3 linked regions of the Anolis sagrei genome follow. The protein of the gene in region 2 interacts with the protein of the main gene of each other region in a biochemical or structural test. Links are inferred from orthologs where the notes say so. Each region holds a gene or a part of one and is shown on either strand. Other genes may lie near its edges.

Region 1 (7,531 bases), on a different chromosome or scaffold from region 2:
GCTCCAAGCCCAGTTTCCCCTCTCACCTTTCAGCGTGAATGAAGGGATTACTAGAGGATGGATGCTTCTGTCTCTATGGAAAACAAAACAAACCCCTAACTGACAAGACATAAATAAGCGGTTTAATATAAACACGTTTTCCCCTGTACAATATGCACAGCTTGAGGTAGACAATTTGTAGCCTGATTGCTGTTGTCTCGTAGGACAAGAAGAATGCACCTTCAGCCCCCACCCCACCCCACAAGTCAATGGGATATAATATGGATCAGAAATAAGGAGATACTTGATTAGAATACACAACATGTCAATATTACTGATTGATCATTTCCTCCTAGGATGTTAAGGAGAATGTGGCCACGAGGATATTAAGGCTGTAAGCTAATGCACATTTACTTGAGGGTAACTTCCATCAACTCAATTCTGCTAAATACGCACAGGCTCATGATAAAACTCGCCAAGGTATTTACCCCCGACAGCATATTAAAGGAGCCTTTTAGAATGGATTTGCAAAAGGTTTTGACTGCCTGCACGAAAGTCATGCTGGTATCAATGGATTTATATGGGTGACCAGCACTTCTCAGAAAAGGATACATATCGATATATGTTTTGAAAAGAGGCTACTTTTTGTGCTAAGTTCTTGGGATAAATGTAAAGAACATTTTTTGTAAAACCAGCATAGTCTCCAATCAAACCACCAAGGGCTCAATGATGTTTCCTTCCATTATTGGCAAAGGAATACACACCCTGGTTGCCTCCTTCAGTGACTTTCAGCCTAAGTGCCTGCTACAAGTCCAGCTCTTCACAAGCCATTTGTTTGGCAAACTCCTTCAAACTTACTCACGCCTCCCTCCCCGTTTCTCCATGCAACTCTCCTCCATGTAAATACTAATAATCCAAATATCTTGGAGGTTGGGATGGGGGTGGGAGGTGGATCATTAACCTCTTTTGTTCAATGGCCAGATGCTCTCTGTTTGCTTCCATTTCGGGTGATTCAGAAGAGGTATGGAACAGCCAAGTTCACCTGCTTTCCCTCTAGGATAAATACAACTCTCTCCCCCATAATGGCAAGTCAATCAGGTGATTTGTACATTAGCCAGACTCCCAAGTGATTTAGTTATTCCTTCCTTCCTGTTCTGTCTATTCCTTCAGCTCCCTTTCCGTTTCCACAGGACTGACCACGAACTCTGATCCTTCCCACCAAACTGCCCTTATACCTTGGATTCTGAATGGGAGGTTTTACTGTTCCTGTCCTCTAAGCTGGAGTCACTTCCATCCCGGGCACCACCATTGTAATCGGACCACGTCCCTCCAAGAGTGCATGGGGCAGTATCTCCGAGAGTACTAATGAAGCCCCCCGGGTACCGAGAGAGATCCCCAGTAGTGGCATGCAGCCTCCGGTCCACTTTCCTTGGGCAGCACAGCATCCTCTTGAAGGCCTTCCGGAAATCAGGGCTCCTGCAGTAGATGATGGGGTTGAAGGCGGAGTTGGCGTAACCCAACCAGTTGAAGAAAACAAAGAGCTGATCTGGAACCAGCCCTCTGTTGAAGACCTTGACCACATTGACCAAGAAAAAGGGCAGCCAGCACAGAGTGAAGACCCCCATGATGATGCCCAAGGTCTTGAGGGCCTTCTGCTCCCGTACGGCCAAGATTCGGGAGGTTTTCCTCCTGGTGGCCGGACCGTTGCCCAGGATAGGCAGCTGCTGGTGGGTTGGCGGCTGTTGGTGTTGCTGCTTTTGGTGGTGGTTGTTGTAGAAACGCCCCTCGCACTTGTCGATCTTCTTCATCTGCTCCTTGGCTTCTCGGTAGACCCTGATGTAGACAAAAATCATCACAGAGAGCGGGACGTAGAAGGAGATGATGGAGGAGGCAATGGCGTAGGCCCTGTTGGTGACAAAGTCGCAGCAGCCGGGGTCGTCGTAGCACAATAAGGCTTCGGGGTCGTCGTCCCTCCACCACTGCATCATAATGGGCAGGAAGGAGACCAGGGCCGAGATGGCCCAGACCACGCAGACAATGACCTTGGCCCGTTTCTTGGTCATGAGGCTCTGGTAGCGGAAAGGCGAGGTGATGGCTAAGTAGCGGTCGATGGCGATGACGCAGAGGGTCTCGATGCTAGCCGTCACGCAGAGGACGTCCACCGAGGTCCAGCACTCGCAGAGGAAGGAGCCCCAGAGCCAGGTGTCACGCACCACCAACGTGGCCCCAAAAGGCACCACCACGGATCCCATGACCAGGTCGGCGCAAGCCAAGGAGGTGATGAAGACGTTGGTGAGGGTCTGGAGGCGCTGGGTGCGCCCGATGGCCGCGATGACCATGCCGTTGCCCACCACGATGAAGGTCACCATCAGGGACATGAGGAGGCTCATGCCCACCACCCACTGCTGGGACAGCTCCTTGGGGGCCAGGGGCAAGGCGCCCGGGCTGGGCGCGGACGAGGCGTTGCCTTGGGCACCGCTGGAGTTGGACCGGTTCTGGAGGCTCTCGCTTAGGAAGACCCAGCCATCTCCCATGGCTGTCCGGCGGAGAGCAGCAAGAGGGGTCCGGCCGCTCAGGGCATCATCCAAGAGGAGGAAGGAGAAGAGGAGGAGGAAGAGGAGGAGGAGGAAGAGAGCCGGGCTCTTGGCAGCAGCTGCTGCCGCTGCTGGGAGCGCCTCCGACGCCGCCTCCACCGCCGCCACTTGCTCCGGGGCTCCAGCATGGTTTGCGCGAGCCAGCCTCTCCGGCGGGCTCCCGCGCCTCTGAAGACGCCTCCCGCCCCCTCCAGTGACGTCGGCACCCGGGCAGCCAATGGCGAGCCCTCGGAGAACTCAGGCAGGGAGAGAGGGAGGGGGAGGCAGGACTGAAGGGGTTCCTCTGGAAGAAGGGGGGCTGAGGGAGGAGGAGGAGGAGGAGGAGGAGGAGGAGAGGGAGACCAGGAGGAAGGCAGCTCCAGGCGCCCACGAGGGCTCGAGGAGAGCGTTGCCTTCGCCCTGGAGTCCACGTTTCTCTCGGAAGCGTTATCTCTCTGCGCCTGCCCGTCTGCCTATCTCTAGGTCCCTCTTGGCCCTCTTTTCCTGTCCTTCCCGCTCCCTTCTTCTCTCACACTCTGTCCTTCACCTCCCCCTTCGTCTATACCCCCCACTCTCCTTCATGCACATACACTCTCAGTGTGCCTCCCCTTCTTTCTCTCTCTCTCTCTCTCCCCTTCTCACTTTTTATCCCTGTATTGCTTTCCTTCCCTCCTCTCTCTCTCTCTCTCCCCTTCTCACTTTTTATCCCTGTATTGCTTTCCTTCCCTCCTCTCTCTCTCTCTCTCTCTCTCTCTGTCCCTCTCCTCTTCTTTCTCTCTCTCCCCCCTCCCTCTCTGGAAGCCTTTCGCTTTCAGCTCTGGTGGCCGAATGAATGCCCTTGAATGCGCCCTCTTCTGTCCTCCTCATCCTCCTCCTCCTGTCCCTCGTCCTCCCCCTGGAGCCAAACCTAGGGACAGCACAGTTCTTTATGGCTGACCCCCCCCCCCCCCCCCGGTTTGCTAAGTTGCAGTGGAGGCGGCAGTTAGTGCTGCTTCAGGCTGCCTTTCCAGGCTTGAAGGGATGCAACTTGACAGCCATAGCTCCATGCTGTGAGATCTTTGTGAGACACAGCAGCACCCTTTGGGCAAAGGAGGCTATATAGCCCAGGTATGGGCACACCCAGGCTTGGGGACCAGATGTGGGCCCTTGGGCCCTTTCTCAGGCCCTCCTCTCGCTCAACAGCCTATCCTTCCTTCCTTCTCGCTTTCTTCCTCCTTCCCTCTCTATTCTCCTTCCCTTCCATCCTTTCCTTCTTCCTTCCTTTCCTTTCTCCCTCTCTCCATTCCATCCTTTCATCCTTCCTTCCTTCCTTCTCTCTTTCCTTTCTCCCCTTCGCTTCCCTTCCACCCTTTCCTCCTTCCCTCCCTTTTGTCTTTCCTTCTCTTTCCTTCCTCCTTCTCTCCCTTCCCTCCCCCACTCCTTCCATCCTTCCTTTCCACCCTTTCATCTTTCCTTCCTTTTCTCTCTCCCTCTTTCTCCTTCCTTCTCCTTCCCTTCCCTTCCCTTTTGTCTTTCTTTCTTTCTTTCCTCCCTCCCTCTTTCTCCCTCCCTTCATTCCATTCCAACTTTTCTTCCTTCTCTCTTTCCTCCCTCCCTCCCTCTCCTTCCATCCTTCCCTTCCATCCTTTCGTCCTTCCTTCCTTTTCTCTCCCTCTTTCTCCTTCCTTCCTTCCTTCCTTCCTTCCTTCCTTCCTTCCCTTTTGTCTTTCCTTCTTTCTTTCCTCCCCCCTCTTTCTCCCTCCCTTCATTCCATTCCACCCTTTCTTCCTTCCTTCTTTCTTTCCTCCCTTCCTCTCCTTCCATCCTTCCCTTGCACCCTTTTGTCCTTCCTTCTCTCTCCCCCCCTCTTCCTACCTTCCTTCCTTCCTTCCTTCTTCCTTCCCTTTTGTCTTTCCTTCTTTCCTCCCTCCCTCTTTCTCCCTCCCTTCATTCCATTCCACCCTTCCTTCCTTCTCTCTTTTCTTCCTCTCCTTCCTTCCTTCCTTCCTTCCTTCCCTTCCCTTCCCTTCCCTTCCCTTCCCTTCCCTTCCCTTCCCTTCCCTTCCCTTCCCTTCCCTTCCCTTCCCTTCCCTTCCCTTCCCTTCCCTTCCCTTCCCTTCCCTTCCCTTCCCTTCCCTTCCCTTCCCTTCCCTTCCCTTCCCTTCCCTTCCCTTCCAGCAAATGTCAATTGCACATATTCCATATTTACTTCTTGTACTGCATTACTTTACCAGTCAAAAGCTTGGTCCTATGTCTTTGTTCTCTTTCTAAAAGTCAGGAGGGAGGGGGCTGATCTAATCTCACTGGGGAGAGAATTCTAGAGTCGAGGAGCCACCACTTAGAAGGCCCTGACAGGTAAGCTGGGCCAGAACCATTCAGGGCTTTATAGGATAAAGCCAGCACTTCAGATTGTGCTCTGTTGCAGACTGGCAGCCAGTGGAGCTGACGTTACAGAGGGGTTGTGTGCTCCCTATACCCCGCTCCAGTGAGGAATCTGGCTGCTGCCCTTTGGGTTATTTGAAACGTCTGAACAGTCTTCAAAGGCAACCCTGCATAGAGTGCATTGCAGTAATCTATTCTTGATGTAACAAGAGCGTGGGTCTGGCTTCTCAAGATACAGGTGCAACTGGTGCACAAGCTTTAATTGAGATCCTGAAGGCATCCCAGAGCCACAGGCATTCTCCACCAACCTCAGCTCTTCTTGCTGTTCCTCCCAACACCATTAAAAGCCATCCAAACAAATCTTGGGGGAAGCATTTAGGAAGGAGCTGTGGAAGGATTTCTGTTTACCTGCCCTGAATGAATGCTTCATCATTGCGCTTCTTGAAATGAGCCTCTGTTGCAAGGTTAGCCCCCCTTTTTAGTCCTGATTCTGAGGGAAAAGGCAGGCTAGAAAGTTAATCATTACTATCACCATTCAAATTAGCAATATGATTGATGTTATTATAGGGAGAAAAACGCCCTGACTCCCTTTGGATGTTTGTTGTTGCTGCTGCAAGTCTTCCTTATGGATGCACTGAATGTTCCCCATTTTAAGATCTAGTAGTGCAACATTTAGTTACGTTATTATGTGCCTTCAAATCCTTTCTGACTTACAGCAACCCTAAGGCAAATTTATCTTACGGTTTTCCTAGCAAGGTTTGCTCAGAGGAGGTTTGTCTTTGCCTTCCTCTGAGATGGAAAGAGTATGACTTGCTCGAAATCACCCGGTGGGTTTCCATGGCTTCAAGTCAAGTGTAGTCCTCAGACTACTATACCAGGCTGGTTCTCATTTTAAATGCCAACCGAATCAAATAGTCTTAGCTGCCCGTTTATGGTATGATAAAGAGAAGGTCAAGCACCAAGGGAGGGATTTACATGATGAAGATGCTGAGAAAGAAAAAGTCTAGTCATGGATACATCCTTGGTGGCAAGATATGCATCAAGCCCTCTGATGACTATCAGTAATTATGGACAAGTTTAAAAGAGAGGATTCGGTTTTCTTCCTATCTGCAGAACTGAGTCCTCACATATAAAGAGGTCTGACTGCAACACTAGTCACACAATCTTTCTCCCTCCCTCCCCCCCCTCCCCACACACAAATGTGTAATTAACCAGACGATTGCTGTGCTATGGCATTATTGGGAAGCTTACCTTCTGAGGTTGCTTTCTCCTAAGATAGTGAGGGAATGTGACTTGCCCAAGGCCATCCAGAGGGTTTCCATGACAGATCAGGGATTCAAATCCTGGTCTGTACACAGTCTAAGGACCTCATCACATGCTGTCTTACCAGGATTGTGATTCGCCAGCATCCATGGCAAATCAGGGTAGTATTGGGGCAATCCCGGAGCCCCAGCCAGCAACTGATGCTTCCTCATCCCATGTGTTGTTTCTTATGGAACATGGGGCTACCTTTGTGTTTGTAGTAGTCCTTCCACACTGATGCCCCAGTTCATCAATGAAGCCCCACCAGAAGTCGCCCGATGTCATATGATGGGCAGTGTGGGGCTCCATGGTTGAACTGGGGCAGAAGTGTCCTAGGATGCTTATTTTGCCTTGTGTGATAAGGCTGTAATATTCAAACTACTACAAAACACTGGCTCTACAGGATTTGTTCAGAGGAGGTTTGTCTTAGCCTTCCTCTTAGGCCAAGAGATTGTGACTTGTCTAGGGTCATCCAGTGGATATCCATGCCATTTGTAGATTTGAACTCTGTTCTTACAGTCCTACCGCAACTCTGAAATCACTGTGGCCCCTTCCATACTGCCATATAATCCAGATTATCAAAGCATATCATCCACATTATCTGGCTTGAACTGGATTATATGAGTCTACACTGCCATATGATTTATTGATTTATTTCATATACTTGTAACCTGTCCTTCTCACCCCCCCCCCCTTAGGGGGGACTCAGGACAGCCTCACAGCAAACACCATTTGGTGCCATCATAATGATAAAAACAATCAACAAATTTATTAAAACAAAACATTAAGCAAACAGTTGTTAAAACACGCCAATTAAAATCTGGGTCCGGGTCAATTCATTGTCACTTCGAAATTGCTTATGTCTTCTTCATATAAGCCTCTTTTCAATGGTCAAATGCAAGGTCCCACAGCCAAGTCTTGAGTTTCCTTAATAATAATAATAATAATAATAATAATAATAATAATCCAGTTCAAAGCAGATAATCTGGATTTTATATGTCTGTGTAGAAGGGACCAGAATCACACTGGCTTCCACACTTTTTGTGTATCATGCAGCACTTTATACACACCTGATGTTTATTATTGTGTCCATACACACCTTTGCTTACTATTTCTCTAAGCCCCCAAATGGAATCTTTCTTCTTGGGCCCCTTCTGCACTGCCATATAAAATCTAGATTATCTGCTTTGTAGACTCATGTAATCCAGTTCAATCCAGATAATGTGGATTATATGGCAGGATAGAAGGGGCCTTAAGAACTACTACACCTGCTTCCTTCTTCTCCTTCTCTTCCTTCTTCCTCTTTTTCCTCCTTT
Region 2 (7,582 bases):
CGCCTCCAGACACCAGAAATGAAAAGGGAAACTTTTCCTTTGTTTGTGTATAGTATGTAATTGTTCACTGTATAAAAAGCATGGAATGTTTCCCTATTTATGTGCATACTGTAATCTGCTCTGAGTCCCCTCGGAGATTAAGATCATATTGGAGAGGCACTGCTCTCGATCCACCCTCCTTTGCAGATGTGACTGATGGCGATGAGAGACAGGGCCTACTCAGTGGTGGCCCCTCAGATGTGGAACTCTCTCCCCAGTCATATTAGAGCAGCCCCCTCCCTCTTGGCCTTCAGAAGGAAAGTGAAAATCTGGCCCTGTGGGTCAAGCCTTTGGAGATTAACTACATTGCAATAAAAGCTACGAAATTCATAGAATCATAGAGTTGGAAGAGATTGTGTGGGCCATCCAATGCAACCCTCGCCAAGAAGCAGGAAAATCACATTCAAAGCACCCCTGACAAATGGCCATCCAGCCTCTCCTTAAAAGCCTCCAAAAAAGGAGCCTCCACCACACTCTGGGGCAGAGAGTTCTACTCTTGAACGGTCAAGAAGTTCTTCTTAATGTTCAAGTGGAATCCCCTTTCCTGTAGTTTGAAGCCACTGTTCCGCGTCCTAGTCTCAGGGACAGCAGAAAACAAGCTTGCTTCCTCCTCCCTCTGACTTTCCTTCACGTATTTATACATGGTCATCATGCCTCCTCTCAGCCTTGTCTTTTTCAGGCTAAACATGCCCAGTTCTTTGATCCACTCCTCATAGGGCTAGTTCTCTAGACCCTTGATCATTTGAGTAGCCCTCCTCTGGACACAATACAACTTGTCAACATTATGTGCAATGGCTTTTGAAATGGTCCCAGATTACGATTGCGAGTGGTGTGATTTTTAATTAGTGAGTGTAATGCTTTATATGTATATATGTTCGTATTTATATTATTTCGCATATTTGTACCCCATCTTCCTCACCCTGAGGGGGAGACTCAGAGTGGCTTCCCAACAGGCATTCATTCAATGCTAAACAGCAGTAATGAATGATAAAGTGCTGGCTTTAGCCTATAAAGCCCTAAACGGTTCTGGCCCAGCTTATCTATCCAAACGCATCTTTTCCTATGAACCCACCACGAACTTGAGATCGTCGGAGGAGGCCCTGCTCTCGATCCTGCCTGCTTTGCAAGCATGTTTGGCGGGGGTGAGAGACAGGGCCTTCTCTGTGGTGGCCCCTCGGCTGTGGAACTCCCTGCTTAGGGATATTAGATCAGCCCCCTCCCTTCTGACCTTTCGAAAAAGAGTAAAACTTGGCTCTTCGAGCAAGCTTTCGGTACCACAGCATAAACAGACAAACTTGAATCAGAAAATGACCCAGGAACGGCCAAGACAATGGAATGGATGAGGATTTGAACGAGACGATATAGTTCTTTAAATTTTTATTGTTCATTGTTTTTATGATTTTAAATGTACTGTAATGTTTCTTTATTGCTTTTTATCAATGTATGTATTTTATATATGGCATCGAATTGTGCCGACTCTGTATGCCGCCCTGAGTCGCCTTCAGGATGATATGGGCGGGATAGAAATAGCGTAAATAAATAAATAAAAGAAATTAAAACAATTTGTGAATGCTTTAAAATTACTAAAACATTGTTTAAATCACGCAAGTTTGAAATCATAGTCCAGATCAGTCCATTGTAATTCACACAAATTGGGTCTCATTCTAAATTGCTGCCTCTACTGTTCAAACACTTGGTCCCACAGCCAGGTTTTGAATTTCATTCTAAAGGAAAAGAGGGAGGGAGCCAATCTAACGTCACTGGGTAGAGAGTTCCACAGGCATATTTTAAATGTGCATTCCATTTTAATTTTAAACCTTTCACTCCATGTATTTTAACTGTTTGTTGTTCAAAGGCATTGAAGAGTTGTCCTACGGAAAGCCTCCTTGAGTCTCCTTCAGGGTGGAGAAAGGCGGGATACAAGTAAGAGTAAATAAATGAGATAGAATGGAATATAAATAAAGTGTATTATTATTATTATTAAAGTGGTGTCAAATTCTACAGCATAGATGCACCCTAGGGGGCTAAATGTGCCTGGAAACAGGGCCAGGAGTGCTCAGGTAAGGCGAGAATGTGCCCCAAGGGCAAGGAGATGGGAGGGAGAGATAGCTTGAGCTTATGAAGGAGAAAGGGATGAGGGCTGGCATGGGCAAACTTGGGCCCTCCAGGTGTTTTGGACTTCAACTCCCAGCATTCCTAACAGCCTCAGGCCCTTAGGGCTGAGGGGGAAAAGGAAAGGGCCTGAGGCTGTTAGGAATGCTGGGAGTTGAAGTCCAAAACACCTGGAGGGCCCAAGTTTGCCCATGCCTGGTGTAGAGTCACCCAAAGCAGGCAGGCAGGCAAGGCGGGAGGGCATTTCGCGGCCCCGAGGCACTGACCTGGCCGCACGGTCTTGAGGTGCACGGGTTCCCTGAAGTGTCGGATGACGGCCAGCGTGTCGCGGTGCGTGAGGCCGCTCACCGGGGTGCCGTTCACCTCCAGCAAGACGTCCCCCGGCGCCGGGGCTTTCCCCGAGAGCAGGACCGAGCCGGGAGCGCCGCCTGAGGAAGACGAGGAGGGCGAGGGCTCGGCCGGCGACGTGAGGCGGGCGCCGAGGTAAGGGAACTCTCCGCGCTCGGCTCCCCCGCGGAGGAGCTCCGGGTCCGGCCCGCAGCCGCTGCCCCAGGACACGGCGCACTCCTGTACTTTGCTCAGCCAGTGCCGCTTCCTCCGCAGCGTCTTAGACATGAGGCCGCACCATGGGCGACCTTCCGCCCGAAAGGAGGACGAGGAGACGGCGACGACGGAGGCGCCACCACTCTCCCACTGTGTACTCAGTCAGTCAGTCAGTCAGTCAGTCACTCGTCCGGCCAGTTCGCCAAGCGCGCGCCTCTGTGTGCTTGTGCGCGTGCGCGCGCTCTCTCTCTCTCTCTCTCCTTTGCCTCGCGCCTTCCCCAACCGCCACCGGCCGCGGCTGCTTCCCAACTGACGGCTCCCTCCGCGCGCCGGCCGCGGCACGAGGACACGCCCCCTTCTTCTCTTCCTCCTCCCATTGGACACACCTCTCCCGCTCCTCTCCCTCAGCTTTCGCTACAAAAGGACACGCCCCCTCCTTCTCCTATTGGATACACCTCTTCATCCCTTCTCTCAACTCCCGCCCCTGAGCAGGAGGGCACGCCCCTTCTTCTCTTCCTCCTCCCATTGGACACACTTCTCCTGCTTCTCTCCCTCAGCTCGCTCTCTCTACAAAAGGACACGCCCCCTCCTTCTCCTATTGGATACACCTCTTCATCCCTTCTCTCAACTCCCTCCCCTTAGCAGGAGGGCACGCCCCTTCTTCTCTTCTTCCTTCTCCCATTGGGCAAACGTATTCTCCCTCCTTCTCACTGAGGCGGCCTCCCCACGGATGACAAAGGACACGCCCCCTGCTTCTCCTATTGCATACACCTCCTTCTCCTTACTCTCAACTCCCTCCCCTGGGCAGGAGGACACGCCCCCTTTTCCTCTTTTTCCTTCTCCCATTGGACAAATCTATTCTCTCCTCTCCCCCACGGCTGACAGAAGACACGCCCCCTTCTTCTCCTATTGCATACACCTCCTCGTCCTTTCTCAACTCCCGCCCCTGGGCAAGAGGACACGCCCCCTTCTCTTCTCCCTATTCTCCCCCCTCTCCCTGAAGCGGCCTCCCCACGGCCGCCGGAGACCACGCCCCTTTCTTCTCTTCCTCTCCTCCCATTGGACACACTTCTTCTCTCCCTCTCCAACTTCCCCTCCTCTCCCTCGCCTCGCGCTCGCTATTGTCCCCAAAGCCCCACCCGGCATTCCAGGGGGCGGGGCTATGGGCCTGACGTCAGAGAGAAAAGAACTTTCAGGGACAAGGAAAAGGGTTTGTGGCGGCGACAGGACGGGCTGCAAAGCGGCTTTGGTCTCTGCCTGGCTCTCAGGCTGCGGCGTTGCTGTTTCGGAGATCTCGCCCTCTTACTCTGGAATAGCAATTCACTAAAGCAGTGTCTCTCAACCTTCCTAATGCCGCCACCCTTTCGCACAGTTCCTCATGTTGTGTTGGCCCCCAATCATAACATTCTTTTGGTTGCTACTTCATAACTAATTTTGCTATTGTTATTAATAGTAAATATCTGATGTGCAGGATGTATTCACTGGACCAAAATTGGCACAAATACCCCATACGCCCAAATTTGAATATTGGTGGAGTTGGGGGGATTGGTTTTGTCACTTGGGAGTTGTAGTTGCTGGGATTTATAATTCACCTACAATCAAAGAGCATTCTGAACTCCACACCAATGATAGAATTGAACCAAACTTGGCACAGGCAACTCCCATGACCCACAGCAAATACTGGAAGGGTTTGGTGGGTATTGACCTTGAGTTTTGGAGTTTTAGTTCACCTACATCCAGAGAGCACAGTGGACTCAAACGATGATGGATCAGGACCAAACTTGGCACGGATACTCAATATGCCCAAATGTAAGCACTGGTGGAGTTTGGGGGAAAATAGACCTTGACATTTGGGAGTTGTAGTTGCTGGGATTTATAGTTCACCTACAATCAAAGCGCATTCTGAACCACACCAACAATAGAATTGGGCCAAACTTCCCACACAGAACCCCCCATGATCAACAGAAAATACTTTGTTTTCTGCTGGTCTTTGGTGACCCCTATGACACCCCCTGGTGACCCCTCTGAGAGGTCTGGCCCCTAACTGTGGTCCATATGTCATCCAGGTTTAGGCAAGACAAATGTCCTTGCCATCTGAAAGAGGAGCCTCTTCTGTGTGTTGAAGGCTTTCATGACCAGAATCATTGGGTTGCTGTGAGTTTTCCAGGCTGTATGGCCATATTCCAGAAGCATTCTCTCCTGATGTTTTGCCCCCATCTATGGCAGTCATCCCCAGAGGTTGTAAGGTCTGTTGGAAGCTAGGCAACTAAAGGCAGGAATCAGCCAGGCTTTGAAGCTGCAAGGCTGCTCAATGCTAATCACATTCACACTTGCCTCAAGTGGACAAGAGTTCTTTCTCTCACTCTGGACATTCCACAGATATATAAACCTCACTTGCCTAGTTTCCAACAGACCTCACAACCTCTGAGGATGCCTGCCATAGATGTGGGCAAAATGTCAGAAGAGAATGGTTCTGGAACATGGCCATACAGCCCGGAAAACTCACAGAAACCCAGAATCTCTTCTGGTTCTAGGGGTGTGCATTTTGGAGTGACCACAGCTTGTTTGAGCTTCCAGAGTCACCTTAATCCTTTTGTACTAGTGATTTGGGCTGGCCAAAATACAAGGTGAAAGAAATGTCTGTACCTTTGAGTTGCCACTCACCTACCTTGTGCAGGAGAGATAAAAGGCTTTGCTACACAGAAGAGAGGGATATACCCACTAAAGGGACCTAAAACTCCTGGGGGGTCTTTCCTGCCAGTTTCTCAGTCTGCCACTTACACTGAGTAGAATCTCAGAGAGGGCTTAGACCAAAGCTGCTGCCTGGCATTGCTGGCATCTAATCAGCCTGACCCTGGTGCCAAAGGGATTGGCTGCGCATTCCTGTTCAGCAGTGCAGTTCTAAGCCTCTGCATTCTTCCTTAAGCTACTTCGTAAACACCTTCTCAGTTCTTACACTGGAATTCCAATAGATATTAAAGCAAGGTAACTTTCCGTTTAAAGTTTAAAACCTGCAGTAAATAATTGTCCATCTTTTTAAAAAAATGAAATTTAAATATGGTTCCTAGTCCTTTCTATAGCTCTTTTGGGATTTTCCTTTAAGCATCGTTGCTAATTTTCTCATTTCTGCTAGTTTGTTCTTCTAATATTATTTAAATACAACAGTTAGCTGCAGGGGTGTAGGTAAACATTATCTACAAGAAGATTTTTTAAGAAGTTATATCTTCAACCCAGGGAAAAGGACGTCAATAGAACAAGATTATTTATATCTGTAATGTACATTGTACATGGGGTTGCCTTTGAAGACTGTTTGGAAGCTTCAAGCAGTCCAACGGGCAGCAGCCAGATTTCTCACTGGAGCGGCATATAGGGAGGATACAACTCCCCTGTTATGTCGGCTCCACTGGCTGCCCATTTGCTACCGAAAACAAAGTGCTGACTTTAGCCTATAAAGCTCTAAATGTTTCTGGCCCAGCTTATCTGTCCCAACGCATCTCCCTCTATTAACCATACTGGAGGTTAAGATCATCTGGGGAGGCCCTGCTCTTGGTTCCACCTTCTTCTCAGGTGCAACTGGTGGGGATGGAAGACAGGGCCTTCTCAGTGGTGGTCCCTCAACTATGGAACTCCCTCCTCAGCAAAATCAGGTTAGCCCCCTCCCTCCTGACCTTCAGAAAGGAAGTACAAACGTGGCTCTGGGACTAAGCCTTAGGATAGAAATGTAGTGCAATAAGGGTAGATGGAATACGTGGAATTATGGCTGGAACGCCCTATGACTATGATTTTGGACTGTTTGGTTTTAATACTTGATTTTAATGTTTATATTGCTTTTAATTTTGATGTTTATTTTTATTATATGTTGTTTGATATGGCATTAAATTGTTGCTGATTGTAAGACCACTTTGAGTCCCCTTCAGGGTGAGAAGGGGAGGATATAAATACTGTAAATAAACAAACAAAAAAATGTAGATGTGACTAGAAAACTGAAGTAGAAGCAAAAAATATAATAATAATAATAATAATAATAATAATAATAATCCCATCGTTGCCAATGCAATTCACTTACAGATCCATGTTCTCATCTTTGCAAATTTCGTGCCTCAACAGATGCTTGGTTTCTCCATAAATCCTTCTAGAGTCAATGAGGCTTATTGGGAAATAAATGTGCATAGCTATTCAGACTGTTTATACATATATAGAGAGAGGGTGATTGAAAGAAACATTGAATGTGCGACATGCTGCAGTGTACTTTTTAATCTTCTGTTTCTTTGGGTACCAAGGATATTGGTCCAAGTAGTTCTGGGGCAAAATAGCCATTAACTATTTAGCCTTTTAATACTTTCTCTGTGACACTTCCCACCTTTCAGCAAAACCCCTCAAAAGTAAATGTCACTGAGTGCAATATAACTTCCTTTGTACAGTATAGTAAGGACTTCATCCTCAGCTTGGAAAAAAAACTTATTTTGTTTTCTGGTCATCAACTTCGCCCTCAGCATATTTACAATGAGCTTTTCTTCAATAAAACATAATTATATACATATTCTACTTGTTTTCACTTTTTAATTAATGCTGGTTCTTCTTTTTGAAATACATGTAAGACACAATGGACCTCCTACATTCCTTTCTGCTTCTTCTGTTATATGCTACTGTAATGAAAGTTATATATCAATCAGTTATACATTAATCAAAGTATTGAGTCCTTTTCTTGAAATATCTTTGATTAATATGAGAAGAAGGGGAGATAAATGTAGGGAGCCAGATTTTATGGCTACTTCTGTCAATATTTACTTTATGAATTTGTCATTCCTTCTTTGAATACTACAGCATACTGTGCAAATTGCCAAGCCCAAGGGTGGCACAGTGACAGGCCTTTGACTGAGAAAAAGTG
Region 3 (8,003 bases), on a different chromosome or scaffold from region 2:
TTCATGATTTTAAAATAAGGACCCACACAAGTTCCTCACTATTTGCCTTGTATCTGCCAAGAGTCTAAATATGGAACTATGAGCCCTGAATGAAGAAACCCGTGAATATTACTACTGGTGCAATATGATAAATGGGCGATGAGGGTGGGCTAGTTACACTGCAAGGCAACTCTCAGCTTCTCAATGACATAAGCCCTGAAGATGACAATTAAAAACAAATTTCAAAGTGGTATTTCACAGGGTGAAATACATTGAAAAACTAAAATAACGTGGTGCTAAACATTATGTTTGTTGTATTTGTATCAGCTATAATTAATAAAGATTTTGGAGGTTCTCCTTGAACTGATTTCCATACAATGTTTAAAACACGACACATTCAAATAACTTAAACAAAAGGTAAACATTGACTTTACAGTATTCCTAAATCTGTCAGATTGAGCTTGATATCTTTGCCTTAAAGCAGACATGTACAAACTATGACCCTCTAGGTGTTTTGGACTTCAACTCCCACAATTCCCAACAGCCTCAGGCCCTTTTCTTTTCCCCCTCAGCCACTTAAGCAGCTGAGGGGGAAAAGGAAGGGGCCTGAGGCTGTTAGGAATGGTGGGAGTTGAAGTCCAAAACACCTAGAGGGTCATTGTTTGCACATGTCTGCTTTAAAGGAATCCTTAGAGCCATCATCTTCTAAAGAGGGGATGCGTCATCAATAGCACCAAATTCTTTCTCAAGCGCAGGGATTTCACTTTTAGGCAGCTCAGCTCAGTGCTTGCAATTCCTACACCTGTGAGGTAGATGAACATGGTGACACTACATCACAACAAAGAAGTTCCTTGGAGGACAAGGCCCAGCAGTGCATTTGCTCTTAATGGAAGAAGGAGCTCTAATTGATATATACGCAAATCCAATCATGCCCTTCCTTAAATATTGGTATAACCATAACATGCCAGCGTGGGATCTCTTCCTGCATTTGGGACCACTGCAGTTGTCCAAACAGCTGTTCTATTTCCCATTTTACATGTCATTACCATCAACAGCCATGGTCATCAACCATGTCCCATCCCTGCAAATTAACGTTACCATGCAACACAGTACCTTTACAATGCAAATGCTCTTCCCCAGGAGGAAGGCTGTCTTCTTCACAGAGCAATTCACAGGCCTTTTCTCGCCCCGCATGAAAGCTATTGTGATCCCCAATGAAGTCATTTTTTCCAGTGCTATTGGAATACCCGTTGATGTACATTTTCAAGGCAGACCTCCGGAAGCAGAGGATCTCCTGGAAAGCATACCTAAAGTCTGGGCTACGGCAGTAAATTAAGGGGTTGAAGGCAGAATTGACATATCCCAGCCAGTTCAAGATCACGTACAGGGATTTGGGGATCACGTGTTCATTGATGGCATGCACAAAGTGGACAATGAAGAACGGGAGCCAACACAACGTGAACGTGCCCATGATAATGCCCAGGGTTTTGAGAGCTTTGTGTTCTTTCAAGCAAAACTTGGACACTCTCCTGTGACCGGCTCTTCCTGCATTCTGTTCCTGTTGGGAGCTCTGCTGGTGGAACCGGCCCTCGCACTTGTCTATCTTCTTGAGCTGCTTCCGGGCAACCTGGAAGACCCTCCCATAGACAAAAACCATGACCACCAATGGCAGGTAGAAGGAGATGACGGAAGAAATGATGGCATAGCCTCCATTGATGAAGAAATCACAACAGTTTTCATCCTTGTAGCATTTCTCAGCCTCAGGGATGTCAGCTTTGTCCCAGTCCATCTGGATTGGCAAGAAGGAGGTCAGAATGGAGATGACCCAAACCAACAAAATGATCACCCGGGCTTTATTCTTGGTCAGGTGGCTTTGATACTTGAAAGGGGAGGTGATGGCAAAGTAGCGGTCCATGGCGATGACGCAGAGGGTCTCAATGCTGGCCGTGACACACAGCACGTCGATGGAGGTCCAGAGCTTGCACCAGATGTTCCCAAACTTCCAGGTGCGCTGGATGATGTGGCTGGCACCAAAGGGGATCACCCCCAGGCCCATCAGGAGGTCGGCACAGGCCAGGGAGGTGATGAAGTAGTTGGTGACGGTCTGGAGCCTCTGGAACTTGGCGATGGCGGTGATCACCAGGACGTTGCCAAAGACGATGGCCAGCACGATCAGGGACATGAGGATGCCCATGCCCACCACCCAGGTTTCTTCCGAGGCGGTGGCATTGCCCGAACTGGGCCCTCCGGAGGGGCTATCGTTCAGGCTCAAGGCGAAGGGCAGGAGCGGGCTGGCGGGGGAGCTGGCCACTTCCATGGCGCCTCCAGGAGCCCAAGTCAGCCTCGGGCGGCTCTGGCTTCCCGGCGGCCGCGACGAAGTGCCGTTTGGAGGCGCGGCGGGACCGGGCCCCGCATGTGGCCCTTGCCTTCCAGTCCGTCCTTCCTCCTTGCTTTCCTCCTTCCTCCTTCCTTCCCGCTCGCGCCGCGCCTGCGGATCCCTCGCCCGCCGAAGAACTTGTCCCGGCTCCCGTTAGGTTTAGGGGAGTTTATAGGAACTCCTAATTGTGACGTCAAGCCGCCCCCAGCCAATGGGCTGCCGGCGCACGGCCACCCTCCGAGCGCGCGACACCCGCGCAGCCACGCTCCGGGATGGGGTCCCGCCCGTCGGTCCGGCTGCCGCCCGCCTGCCTGCCTGCCTGTCTTCCTTCCTTCTTTCTTTCTTTCTGCGGGGATCGCCGAGGGAAGAAGGAAGGCTGGGGGGAAATGGCTGGCTTGGCCGTTGGGAAGAGGAAGAGACCTTCCGTCCGATCCTTCCTTGCTCCCTTCGGCACCTGATCCGAAGCCGGAGCTGCTTGGGCTCCGGCAAAACCGCCCGACAGAACAGGAGGAAGGAGCCCGCGACGGGGAAGCAGGAAAGCAGGAAGGAAGGGGCCGGGGCGCCGCGGCGGAAGCCCTTCGCCTGGAGTCTGCCAGCCCGAGCTTCTCCCTCCACGTCCATTCCTACTTGGCGTCCTCAGAGGATTCCACGGGCTTCATCCTCCGCAGGACCCTTTGGGAAGTGAACTCCGGGGCTTGGTGCCCCGAGGGATGGGCGGGCGTGCGGGTGCGGGGGACTCATCTAGCCCTGTCGTGGCGGGAAAGCGTGGTGGGAGGCTTTCTACTCCTGTGTGCATGGCCGGACCACCAATGTATCGCACCGATGGTGTGTTCGTTTTTGTCAAAGTCTACACTGGGCATGGGCAAACTTCGACCCTACAGGTGTTGTGGACTCCAACTCCTACCAGCTGTTGGGAATTGTGAGAGTTGAAGTCCAAAATACCTGGAGGACCGAAGTTTGCCCATGCCTGGTCTACACGTTAATCTCTGCAGCAGTATCTCCTTTGGAAATCTGCAAACTCTTCTTGGGAGGCATCTTTCCAGAGAGTATTTGTTACACATCCTTCCAAGATGGGCAGTGCTGAACCAGACAGGCCCTTGTGGGCTTTTCCAACTTGAAGGTCCCATGAATCTATATCTGTCTAAGCAGAATGTAAATCAGGGATCCTCAGACTAAGGCCCAGGAGCCGGATACGGCCCTCCAAGATCATTTACCCGACCCTCGCTGAGGGTCAACCTCAGTCTGAAATGACTTGAAAGCACAACAACAACAATCCTATCTTATCAGCCAAAAGCAGGCCCACACTTCCCACTGAAATATTAATAAGTTTATATTTGTTAAAATTGTTCTTCATTTTAATTGTATTGTTTTTAAGTGGTTTTTGCACTACAAATAAGATATGTGCAGTGTGCATAGGAATTCATTCATTTTTTTTCAAATTATAATCCCGCCCTCCAACAGTTTGAGGGACTGTGACCTGGCCCTCTGTTTAAAAGGTTTGAGAACCTCTGCTGTAAACCATTCACACAAGCAGACCCCTCACAAGAAACTTAGGGCAGTGGTAAAGTGGCTGGGAATTCTGGGAGTTGTAGGCCAAAACACCTTCGGACCCACAGGTCAAGAACCACTGATCTACAGGGAACTACTTTTTCCTGTTCCGAAAACTGCATGTTTTTCTCTTTGGTCCGACAGTGTATCTACACTGGCCACTTCAGGCAGCTTCAAACTGGTGCTGAAGAAAGTGTTTTCCCTGTGCAGATGATCATTGATCACCTAGGATATCCTAAAACCAGAAGGAGGCCGGAATGGCAATTACACAAACAAGAGAGCACTGGTGCACATTGATGATGACATTGTTATGGATGCTTTTGTGGGAGTTGGTTGTATAGCCACCTCAGTTTAGCTCCAAGCTGCATTAAATGGTCAGTGTAGGTGCGACCTGAGAGAAAGACTGCGGCTGGATCTACACTACTCTGTATCCCAGGATCTGACCCCAGATTGTCTGTTAGTGGAGACTTGTATAATCCTGTTCAAAGCTGATAATCTGGAATACAGAGCAGTGTAGATCCAGCCTGTGTCACCCTGCAGTTTTTTCCAACCACCCTTTTTTGACCTATGACAGGCCTCATATTTATTTAAGCATCATGTCTGCATTTATTGCTGCAATGTATGGACAGAAGTGCCTTGAGGTTGCCACAAGTTGGAAACATGAAGACATACAACAACAAACCTCATGGGACCTCAGTGAGATAATAACGGAGAGGAAGACAATTGGAGCTCAGTTGGTGGTGCATGAATGTCATAAAAATGGTTTCTAAAATAATAGTTACTGGGCTTTTGGGTTGCCACATTTGAAGTCCCTACTTGAATAAGATGCAGAGGCTTTTAAATGGAGCACAACCCCAGTATCGGTTGAGAGTATATTTCTGGACTTTGCATATAATAATAATAATAATAATAATAATAATAATAATAATAATAATTGCTAACCCTTTTTTAAATGAATAATTTTTGGCCCAAGAAAACTGTAAAGTCTCTCCAGAGAACCTAGCCAATGGCTAGAGAGGACATATTTTGTCAGAGAGGGATAAACAAAACACCAGGAAGTCATACTTACTGTATTTTGTGTTTCTCAATAGCTGCTATTAACAAGAAGTACAATGAGATTGTGCTTTTCCTTTTCTAAAGTGTAAAGATCAATTCATTAGCAGTAAAGTCATGAGGGCTATATATTACCTCCTGCGTGCTTTTTATGTTTGGGAGAATTTATGTTTACTTGCCTGGGGTCTTTTATTAAACATCTACGGTTGGCAACAGAAGAAAACATTGCCTCCCTAGGTGTGACATTTTGGACTTCATCTACCCTGCCTCTTCTTATGGCCTAAACTATTTATTGATCTCTCATTCATTGCAGTTATTATTGGTTCCTTTCTATGACATTCCTCCTGCATAGTCAAAATCCATGAATTCAGTCATTCAAGCTTTCTCTTAATCAAGTCATAATTGTTTAACTGTTCCTTTCTTCCATTGTATATATACATTAGCTCCTATCTGATACTTGTATCCAAGCAGGGCCAGCCTTGGTTAGTACTTGGATGGGAGACTGCCAATGAAAAAAGAAGCTGCAGGCTATATTTCAAAGGAAAGAAAGGGCAAAATTGCCTTGAGTATTCCTTGTCTAAGAAAACCACAGAAAATTAATGGCATTGCAATATGTCAACTGGCAAAGTGTACACACACATGCACATCACATATTTAACACCCACACTATCCTCCATCTCTCCACAACTTGCCATCCTGGTAGATCCTCCTGGTAATGACCTGCCACTACAGAATGGAAAATTCACAAGTGAACATATGAGCTTTTAAAGGTCACTACAGAATATGAGTTCATTTTGCAGCTACACAAAAATGGAGTCTCTATTTGTATTCTAGTCTTTTGGGATTTGTCAGTGAAAGGGAAGAATAATTTAACAACCCAGAAATAATGTGGGTAGTTCATTCAAAAGTACTTTTCTTTTATATACATATTTATTTATATCCTGCTTTTTCTCTCCATACTCAAAGTGGCTCACAACTAAAAGTATTTCAATACAACTTAAAATATACAAATATTAAAACAGCATTAAACAACATTAATATTAAAACAATCCAGGTTAAAACCATAAATGCATATAAAATAACACCACAAAATCACAGCAGCCCTTGAAGGTTTTAAACACCTTCATCTTTAACAGCCTGCCTGAATAAAAAAAAGTTTTAGCCTGCTACTAGAAGGACATTCTGGCTTCCCTGGGAAGAAGGGAGTTCCAGAGTTGAGGGGCAGCCACCAAGAAGGAAGGCCCACTCTCTCGTTCCCACGAAACGAGCTTGAGTTGGATGTGGGACCAAGAGAACGGCCTCTCCTGAAGATCTCAGAGTCCAGGCTGGTTCGTACAAGGGGATGCAGTCAGTCAAATAGCCTGGACCTGAACCATTTATGGCTTTAAAGGTTTGATCAGCCTCTTGCAGTTCGATCAACCACTTGCCCTCTCGACCCGTGTCCCTCTTGGCTAGTTAAATTTTGCTTGGAGGGATTACGTGGTCCTTTGTTGAATATAGTAAATGGCTCTCTTGAGCAAGGAGTTTTTCCAGAGACCTGTTTGATCAGCCAGGAAGGATCTGGAATACACGTGGTAGCTCTCACCTCTCCAAGGATCCTGTCCACACCCTCAGACTGCAAAGACTGAAAGGTTTCCATCAATACTAGATAAGCCAAAGTTACATCCACTGGAACTGTATCAATAACAGCATCCATAGTCGCTCTGAACAGATCTGAGTGACTATCTGCAAAATGTTGTGCAAATTCTTCACATTGGGCTGCTGAGTAATCAGGGATTTCTCCTTGAGGAGCAATATGTAATAGTCCCCTGACTACGTGAAACAGCTGAGCTGGTCAGTTCTTTGCAGATGCAATGGTAGCAGCAATTAATGATTTCTCTGCTGCCCCCTTTGCCATGAAGTAGGCTTTCAAATACCCTCTAGCCTGTGCTCAGTCAGATTTGCTTTGAGTTCTCCACCAACATTGCTCTAGTCTCCATCTCACTTGCTCTATAATTACCAACTCCTTGGAAAACCAAGGGGCTGGTTTGGCTCTGCTCCATGAGAGGGGACATTCATGATCAATTGTGTCTACTACCCTGGCCATTTCCCCATTCCAGAGGTGAGCCAGAGCCTCAACAGAATCACCTGCCAAGGTGACAGGAAAATCCCCAAGAGCTGACAGGAACCCATCCTGATCCATAAGTCTCCTGGGGCAGACCATCTTAATTGGTCACACACTCCTTTGAAGTTTGGAGTCCCAGCTAGTCTAAACTTGACCAGATAGTGATTGGTCCATGACAATGGAACTGTGACCAATTCCTCCACACCACCATCACCATCATCCTATCCTGCACAGAAAACAAGATCCAAAGTGTGTCCAGCAGCATGGAAAGGGCAAGACACCATCTGGGACAGACTCGTGGTTGTCATAGAGGCCATGAAGTCCTGAGCCACTCCCAATGGAGCAGTCTCAGTATGGAAGTTGAAATCTCCCAGAACTATTAGTCACTGAGACTCCAATGCCAACCATGAGACCACTCCTGCTAGCTCAGGAAGGGAGACTGTTGAGCAGTGGGATGGGCGTTACACCAACAGAATCCCTATTCTGTCCTGTTCCAATACACCCCTCCTGCCTGGTCAAAATCCATGTATTCGGTCATTCAAGCTTTTTCTTAATCAAGTTGTAATTGTTTTCCTGTTCCTTTCTTTCATCGTATCTATTACACACATGCACGTGGGGGCACACACACACACCTCTATGTGGAGATCAGTTGACATGTAACACAATATTTACTTGGTGTTCCAAGTAGGGAAATATAATAGGCAGCACCTTATATTAAGTTCCAAACCTTTGTTAATTTATTATCTTTCCAAAGATCAACATAAGAGATTGAGAGGCAAAATGCATATTGAATTCTGCTTGCATATGAAATAGAAAGGTACGATAAAAGTTATTATTATATCTGATTTCATTTTTCCAAGGAGTACATTTAGAAAGTAAGCTTTTTGAAAAGTGCTATGAAATAGAGTTGAACAAGACATTTTGACTTTTTCAGTTCTGTGC

The links.
Region 1: the proteins of MAGI3 (region 2) and ADRB1 interact in a test that uses a peptide from one of them, tested with the Homo sapiens proteins (2 studies listed by IntAct, with this or other methods). The link is inferred for Anolis sagrei from reciprocal best matches to the Homo sapiens genes MAGI3 and ADRB1.
Region 3: the proteins of MAGI3 (region 2) and ADRB2 form a complex in vitro, tested with the Homo sapiens proteins (2 studies listed by IntAct, with this or other methods). The link is inferred for Anolis sagrei from reciprocal best matches to the Homo sapiens genes MAGI3 and ADRB2.

The regions. Positions count from the first base shown.
Region 1 is NC_090023.1:206,905,456-206,912,986, forward strand, and holds the start of ADRB1 (beta-1 adrenergic receptor), read right to left. Parts: upstream 3,077-7,531; 5' UTR 2,514-3,076; coding exon 1,215-2,513; intron 1-1,214. UniProt on the Homo sapiens protein: Beta-adrenergic receptors mediate the catecholamine-induced activation of adenylate cyclase through the action of G proteins. This receptor binds epinephrine and norepinephrine with approximately equal affinity.
Region 2 is NC_090024.1:202,225,628-202,233,209, reverse strand, and holds the start of MAGI3 (membrane-associated guanylate kinase, WW and PDZ domain-containing protein 3), read right to left. Parts: upstream 3,038-7,582; 5' UTR 2,767-3,037; coding exon 2,418-2,766; intron 1-2,417.
Region 3 is NC_090022.1:101,798,941-101,806,943, reverse strand, and holds the start of ADRB2 (beta-2 adrenergic receptor), read right to left. Parts: upstream 3,041-8,003; 5' UTR 2,297-3,040; coding exon 1,093-2,296; intron 1-1,092. UniProt on the Homo sapiens protein: Beta-adrenergic receptors mediate the catecholamine-induced activation of adenylate cyclase through the action of G proteins. The beta-2-adrenergic receptor binds epinephrine with an approximately 30-fold greater affinity than it does norepinephrine.